2 linked regions of the Danio rerio genome follow. The protein of the gene in region 1 interacts with the protein of each later gene in a pairwise test. Links are inferred from orthologs where the notes say so. Each region holds a gene or a part of one and is shown in the gene's direction. Other genes may lie near its edges.

Region 1 (3,826 bases):
AGTATGCTGATGTGCACATTTTCACACTTTTTTATTACTGAATCTAGCCAGTACTAAAGGAGACAACTAATAATGAATGGAATTTTTTTTAGTTGCGTTCTCCTTACCCCCATCAGGGACAGAGCTTCTCTATTGCTATTTTGGCTTTTGGAGAAGAGGTTTTATGAGCTCTTCTGGATATATTGTTGCTGTGCTTCTTAATGGTGCAGTTTGCCTGCTGCATGCCAACAGCTCTCATGCAGTGTTCTTTTTTTTTTAGACTAATCAGGAGTGGAGTTTTTTTGTTTTGAGCACTTAGTTTTTCAGATTAGTATGCTAGTAAACATTACCAACTACTAGATAAAACTAAATGAAATATATTTCAATTATGTTTTAAGCAATGACCCTCATGAAAACAGATTATACCTGAATACATGAAAGCATACCAAGACACTAAAAACCAACCAAGGCTCATTATTAAAATGTATATTATTTTTGCAGGTTTGTTTTCGCAAATCTACTAGAGGCTGCTGTGTAATCCTTTTCAGATATCAAAGTTTTTTCGCAGGTGCTATTCGCGCATACTGTTCTCGCAGAAATCCACTAGAGTCTGCTGTTGACTGACTGACTGACCGACAGACCGATATCTCCACCCCCCCCTTACCTAAACCAAACCGATAGTGTTTTTAAAAGCACTGATTGACCCGATCACCTAGTTCCCTAAACCCAACTGTCAGTGTTTACAAAAGCATTCCAGCAAAAGATAAGCCCTTGTCCAATTTTTATCACGTTTTCAGATCTTACCACATTCTTACCCTGTTATTTACTTCATTCTTCTTACTACATTACTGGTTATTTACTACATTCTTCATCAGACTCGAACCCCTTGTGTGCAAGCGCCCAAGAGGATGCGACGCTCCGTGTGGAGTGCGCTCTCACCGCTGGGGGACACTGCTTGCTCTGGCTTTGGAAAGTAAAGGAGATGGCATCCACGATCCTGTGGGCCAACCTCTGTTTAGATGTGGCACTTCCCTTTTGCTGACCACCATAACAGACAAAGTGCTGCTCAAAGAATCTAAAGCTCTGAGTGCGATGCACATAAACTTCCAAAGCGCGAACAGAACACCGTAATTAAAGGGCTGGGTCTGCCTCCCCCGTGGGTAGTGCTTGCAGGCTCACTACCTGGTCCTTAAACGGTGTGGTAGGAACTCTCAGGACAACGTGAGAGTAGGCCGGCCCAAATTTCAGGCACGAGTCACTGACTGAAAATGCCTCCAGATCCCTGACCCTCTTGATCGATGCCAACGTGACCAGCAGAGCTGTCTTCAGGGACAGAAATCTCAAGGATACTGAGTCAAGTAGTTTGAACAAATCTTCGTGTATGCTCATAAGCACCACAGCGAGATCCCAAGAGGGCATGAGAGGAAGCGGAGTGAATTTAAGCCACGTAAACTTTCAGTGTGGAGGGCGACAGCCTGCGCTCCAACCTATCCTGAAGTTACCCAAGTCTTTCTCGCTGCATCCAGGGACCATACGTGGAGGTTCCAAAGATCTGGGTGAGGGTGCCAGATGGTGCCCTGTCTTTAGAGAGGAGGTCTTCTCTCAAAGGGATCTGGCAGGCAGGGGTCGTCGCTTCTTTGAAGGTCGACCTGTTTGCTTCCTTGAAGCAAGCCCATATCAGCTGGACGGACTCGGAGTGGAGTCTCCATTCTCCCGGACGTAGAGACTGCCGTGAGAGCGCATCGGCTGCACAGTCGAGCTTGGCGAGCGAGCGGATACGCCACCGTCACTGTGCTGTCCAGCCTGACCAGCACGTGTTCCCCCTCCAGCACTGGTAAAAGACGGCACAGAGCGAGAAATACTGCCAACAGCTCCAGGCATATGATATGCCAATGCAACTGGGTCCTTTTCCGCAGGCCCATGGCTGCATGCCCGTAACACATGGCTCCCCATGCTGGAAGCATCTGTTGAGATGACAACATGCCTGGACGCCTGTCGTAGAACCACTCCGACCTGTAGAAACGCAGGGTCCCTCCAAGGGCTAAGGGTGTGGTGACAGTGCAGTGACAGTTACTTGGTGTGTGCCTGCATGCCATGTGCATCTGGGGACTTGATTATGAAGTCAGTGCTGAAATAGTTTATATGTAGCAGTCCGAGCAGCGTGACAGCAGCTGCGGATGTTGTATGCCCCAGGAGCCTCTGAAAAGATTTCAGGGGAACCATAATTTTCCAGTCGAACTCTCTGTTCTGCCCTCTCCATGCTGCCCTGGTTTAAGTTTAGTTAAGTTAAATATTAAAGTCTCTCTCATTCACACTACGGCCAATTTTGTTTAATCAATTAACTTATACTGCATGTTTTTAGGGGAAACTGGAGCATCTGGAGGAAACTCGCGTGAACACAGGGAGAACATGCAAACTCCACACACAAATGCCAACTGGCCCAGCTGGAAGTCGGACCAGCGACTTTTATTTCTATTACACTTTTTAGAATGTAGATTGTGCAAAAGCAGCTTAACAAGTTCTAGTACAAATCTTCAGTTCAATAGATACAGTTGAAGATCAATTTAGTTCAGTTCAATGTAATGTACTGTAAGTGTCACTGCTGTAAGCCCAAACACTTCACCAATGCACAGATTTTGCACCGAATTCACATTGTATTAAGTGAAAGTATTCAGTTAATATAAACACATTTTGGGATCAAATCTTTTTATCTCTAAATGAGTTTTTCTCTAGCAAAATGTTTTGAGATACATTTTGAAAAATATTGCTGTGCAATGATTTTGTGTGGAGCCAAATTCAAATGACATTTGTTGACGGTAGGTTAAAGGAGATGCAGAAGAAGAAGAACCCGCAATGACAACCATTCTAAAATGGAAACCCAAGGCAATTACTGCGCTTTCTGTTTGGACCACTGAGAGGGACTCAGGTGCTGTCAAATTCATATATTTTATTTATCATTTAATAGTTATGTATTAATATAAAACAATATTAAAACACAGTTATATGTCACTATATAACATTGGTAGTAATTTTGTTGTCCTATATGTAAATAAACAATGCTCTGCATAAATGTAAAGCCCAATTTTGAAAATGTATACATATTTTTTATTCATTTCCCAGTGAAAATAGACAATATATTTTGGTGCATTTACACAAAACAGTTGCATTAAACAGTTATATTCATGAAAAATAAGAGTTTTGTTACTTAACACCTTTAGGAATAACTCAAATGAGTTAATTGCATTAAAAAAAAAGACAAATTAGTTTGGGAGTACTTATTTTTAGACTCTGATATTATTATATTTTTAATTTAATTTAATTTTATTTATAGTTTTCGGCTTTGGCACTGGCTAATCTAATGTATGCACAAATATCATCCTATAGATCATTTCAATGTGGTGATGTCATTGGCCCATAACATTTCCTGCTTGTTATTAAACTATTTCATAACTGTAATGAGGGAATTCAATCATAACTTAATGTTAAAACAGCTATCATAACATTATTTATCAACATGTGACTCATTTTGAATTCTCGAAAGATATAGAAATTAAAAATGTAAAACAGGAAATATTTTGGGAACATTGTTTTTGTTTACATTCCTCAAAATGGTCTATAGAAAATATTAGTTTAAAAGAAATCTGTGAGGGGTGTACTCATTCATGCTTAGAACTTTATATAAATTATGCTTAGAACTGAAGTTTTTCAAAAACAGTAAATTGAACTGAAGTACTGTGTTTGTTTATTGCAGGTCACACTGCGGTGGAGGAGTGATAAAGACAGACCTTCAAAAGACGAGGAAAAAAAGAGCGGAGAGTTGAGGTCCTGTTGAATAAACCTGCAATAC
Region 2 (4,585 bases), on another chromosome or scaffold:
TACGATCAAAGCGATGTTTAAAATGCACAATCCAAATGGCGCAGAACTAGAGAAAGAGGTGCGTGGTGCTTGCAGAGCAGATACATGCTAGAGCAGTGGTCCCCAACCCCCGGGCCGCAGACCGGCACCATTCTATAGATCAATTGGTACTGGGCCACACACAAAAAATTATTAATTATTTCAGTTTTATTTATAATCAGAGTCTGAACGATCATTTATTTTGAAAAATCTTTCATTTTGAAAAATGACCGTATTCTCTTGTTACATCTCGGTCACTTGAGTGCCAAAATTGAACCCACAGGCTAGCAAAATGAGTAAGACCTGCAGCACGACGCGCTTGCGTATTCCAGGCCTCCCCAGTTGAAAACATCTTAACTTTTCAGAATGCAGCACCGCGAGTCATGTGACAAGAACTGACTGATAAAATATTTTGTATGGAATATAATTTCGTTGAATGAATGACTCTGTCTCATTTTCGAACTGTGCAGTGCTTTAGCTGCTTAATTTAGCCCACTAGGCTCCTTTATTTCAATACTGTTGATTATGGTGGTACTTGGAGAGACCATTTTTTTCTGAGGTGGTACTTGGGGAAAATACTTTGAGAACCACTGGTCTAGCCCATGTCTACTACATAAGTTACTATAGTAATTTCCATGCGTGTTAAAAAACTCATCTTTGGCTTATATACAATATTTTTATATCAGATACAATATTAAATGTTTATTACATGGAAGTCCAAAATAATTGAAATAATACCAGAGTACTATCATGAATTGTGTCCCAAAAACCTAGTACTCCCATGGTAATTTACTTTAAAAGGCACTTTTTCCAAGGCATTCAAACCCCTGGAGCTTCATGAACTTTCTCTCATTCATTTTGAGCTTCATCATACTGTAATCTGACCTTGATATCAAGAATAGATCATTTTAACAGTTAAGCAATAACTCTTGGTTAACATCTAACCTAGTTTAACCAGTTACATTCGTGAAGCATTATCAGAATTACATCAGTAACACACCGAGTTCATTAAAACCGAGCAGATGTACAAAAACAATGCTTATTATTTTGTATTCTACTATATATAATATAGAAAGCTGATACAGATTTAATACACATGTACAGTAACAATAGAAATCAGTTCATCTGATGAGCTAAAGCCCGCTAGCCGCATCATAAACATCCCAAACACACACGACTGCTTCTTTAATGACTCATTAACTCATATTTTGGTTAACGACGCACAAATATAACGTTTATCCGTTCAGCTCAAACCTGTAATTGCTGATATTCTTGCTCTATTTCTGTCCATTCACTTTGACATCTCTCCAGTGACATTGTACCCGTCCGCGTTAGCGCTGCTGTGCCGCTTAACTGCCGCTAGTAGGCGCTCCAGCCATTTATATAAGCTCCGCTTCCACCACGTCAGCCAATCACAGCCGAGCATTAGGTTCAGAGGATGACATCGCCATCTGACGACCGGGAGAGTCAGCGAAAATAAACATTAGAGAGTTCGTTGCTTGGTTACAGTACACTAATTATTTTTAAGAGGTTTAGTCGAGATCGACCATTGCTTGACAATTAAAGTTGATTTTCGTAGATAAATGGTTGATTTGGGTTTTTTTAAGCGGTCTGGACTGTAAAGGTAAGTGTTGACTATGATTTATTTACTATATTTACACGTTTTAAATGCAAAAAAGCTCTAGTATTCACCATATCTTTTTGTTTAATAGCCTTTGGTGAATATAGGGTATTATAAACACATCTGTTTACACTTTGTTATTCTTCCCAAAAAGCTTTTAATAAATAAATATTTAAGTAAATACCACGAAATTTGTGCATTTGAATAAAATTGTGTTTATTATATACCTCTTTAACATCGGTAGAATTAAGGCAGTAGAAATTGTACCGCATTTCTGTCATACACAAGCATTACTCTAATACACTACATTACTATAACCATTTAATATTTCTTATAAAATGAGCATTACGGAGTTTGCATGTTCTCCCTGAGTTCGCGTGGGTTTCCTCCGGGTGCTCCGGTTTCCCCCACAGTCCAAAGACATGCGGTACAGGTGAATTGGGTAGGCTAAATTGTCCGTATTGTATGAGTGTGTGTGTAAATGTGTGAGTGGACGATTCCCAGAGATGGGTTGCAGCTGGAAGGGCATCCGCTGCGTAAAAACTTGCTGGATAAGTTGGTGGTTCATTCCGCTGTGGCGACCCCGGATTAATAAAGGGACTAAGCCGACAAGAAAATGAATGAATGAATGAATGAAAATGAGCATGTACACTACCTGACAAAAGTCTTGTCGACTATTCAAGTTTTAAGAACAGCAAATAATAACGTGACTTCTAATTGATCATTTAGTATCAGAAGTGGCTTATATGAAAGTCAAAGGCCTCTAGATGACGCTTATTTGACCACAATAAAATATGATCATGCCTTGATTATTAATGATTTCTTTAGGACAGTAAGGTCTGACTCTGCTTAGAAAAAAAGTCTCATCACTGAATAGAAATAATGTCCAGTCTAGAATATAAAGTCCTGCTGCAGTGGAGACAGCATGAATATTGTGTCTGACTCCATCATGAGTTTGGAGGACTGCATCCATACATCTCTGACATGACTCAAATCACTGATTAATAAAGTCATCTGGAACGGCAAAGAAAGCGTTCCTGCAGGACTCCCAGAGTTCATCAACACTCTTTGTGTTCATCTTCAATGCCTCCTTCATCTTACCCCAGACATGCTCAATAATGTTCATCTCTGGTGACTGGGCTGGCCAATCCTGGAGCAGCTTGACCTTCTTTGCTTTCAGGAACTTTAATGTGGAGGCTAAAGTATGCAAACGACGTTTGTAATGTAATGGGCAGCACAAATGTCTTGATACCTCAGGCTGTTGATGTTGATCATCCACTCTGCAGATCTCTCGCACCCCCCATACTGAATGTAACCCCAAACCATGACTTTTCCTTCACCAAACTTGACTGATTTCTGTGAGAATCTTGGCTCCATGCGGGTTCCAGTAGCTCTTCTGCAGTATTTGTGATGATTGGGATGCAGTTAACAGATGATTCATCAGAAAAAAAAAACACCTTCTGACACTTTCACAAATGATCAACTAGAAGTTATTTGTTGCTCTTACAACTGGGATCAACAACAAGACTTTGTCAGGTAGTGTATATCTGTCCCTCTTTTCAATAAGAGTTTTAAAACAAAACATTTCCCACATAAAAAAATAATATAGTAACTTTTAGTAAACACTAAAGTGTTTTTGAACCATACTATTTCAAATTGTATTATACTGATCTGAAAAACTAATGAATACTATAGTATACTTTAGTTTTTGCTACAGTAAATTGTGAGGTATTGCATAAATTACTCTGTAGTTGAAAACTATTTGTTTATATTATTATAAATGTGGTGGCACGGTGGATGAATGGTTAGCTATGTCGCCTCACAGCAAGAAGGTCGCTGGTTCGAGTTCTGTTTGTGTCAGCTGGTAGAATGTTGGAGGCTGGAGGAGTTTGCATGTTCCGTGTTGGCGTGGGTTTCCTTCTGGTGCCCCCCACAGTCCAAAGACATGCGGTACAGGTAAATTGGGTAGGCTAAATTGTCCATAGTGTATGAGTGTGTGTGTGTGTTAACCCTAACCCGGAGGAAACCCACACGAACGCAGGGAGAAGATGCAAACTCCACACAGAAACGCCAACTGAGCCGAGGCTCGAACCAGTGACCCAGCAACAGCACTACCCACTGCGCCACTGCTTCACCTACCACATACAGTTGAAGTCAGAATTATTAGCCTCCCTGAATTATTAGCGCCCCTGTTTATTTTTTCCCCCAATTTCTGTTCTGTTCTGGGAAGATTGTTTCAGCACATTTCTAACCATAATAGTTTTAAAAACTAATTTCTAATAACTGATTTATTTTATCTTTGTCATGATGACAGTAAATAATATTTGACTAGATATTTTTCAAGACACTACTATTCAGCTTAAAGTGACATTTAAAGGCTTAACTAGGTTAATAAGGTGAACTAGGCAGGTTAGGGTAATTAGTCAAGTTACTGTAAAACGATGGTTTGTTCTGTAGATTAATGAAAAAATAAGTTAAAGGGGCTAATAATTTTGTCCCAAAAATGTTTTTTTTTTTTATTAATAACTGCTTTTATTCTAGCCGAAATCAAACAAATAGGACTTTCTCCAGAAGAAAAAATATTATCAGACATACTGTGAAAATTTCATTGCTCTGTTAAAAACCATTTGGGAAATATTTTAAAAAGAAAATCAAAATCAAAAGGGGGCGAATAATTCTGACTTCAACTGTACATCATTTGTGTATTACTTAAACTTATTTCTTCTTTTACTTATCTCTTCTTTTTACACGAAACATATTTTATCCTTTTGGCATCTTTGACATATTATTTGTTCGATTCCATGTGTATCTTTACATTTTATAACATAGACCCCCAAAAAATCAGTACTGCAAACAGCCATTAATTAAAATGTCATCATACCTTTCTCATTTGATGATTTGAAGTTCATCAAGACTCTTTGGATTCATCTTCAATGCCTCCTCCTT

What was found.
Region 2: the proteins of rsph1 (region 1) and morn3 interact in binary tests that used the Homo sapiens proteins (3 or more experiments, as listed by UniProt). The two-hybrid records come from large-scale screens. The link is inferred for Danio rerio from reciprocal best matches to the Homo sapiens genes RSPH1 and MORN3.

The regions. Positions count from the first base shown.
Region 1 is NC_133184.1:18,425,534-18,429,359, reverse strand, and holds part of rsph1 (radial spoke head 1 homolog), read left to right. Parts: intron 1-2,799; coding exon 2,800-2,905; intron 2,906-3,730; coding exon 3,731-3,753; 3' UTR 3,754-3,826.
Region 2 is NC_133185.1:47,157,504-47,162,088, reverse strand, and holds the start of morn3 (MORN repeat-containing protein 3), read left to right. Parts: upstream 1-1,523; 5' UTR 1,524-1,642; intron 1,643-4,585. Other genes in the region: tmem120b (transmembrane protein 120B), read right to left, coding at 1,273-1,335. UniProt on the Homo sapiens protein: Assembles a suppression complex (suppresome) by tethering SIRT1 and MDM2 to regulate composite modifications of p53/TP53.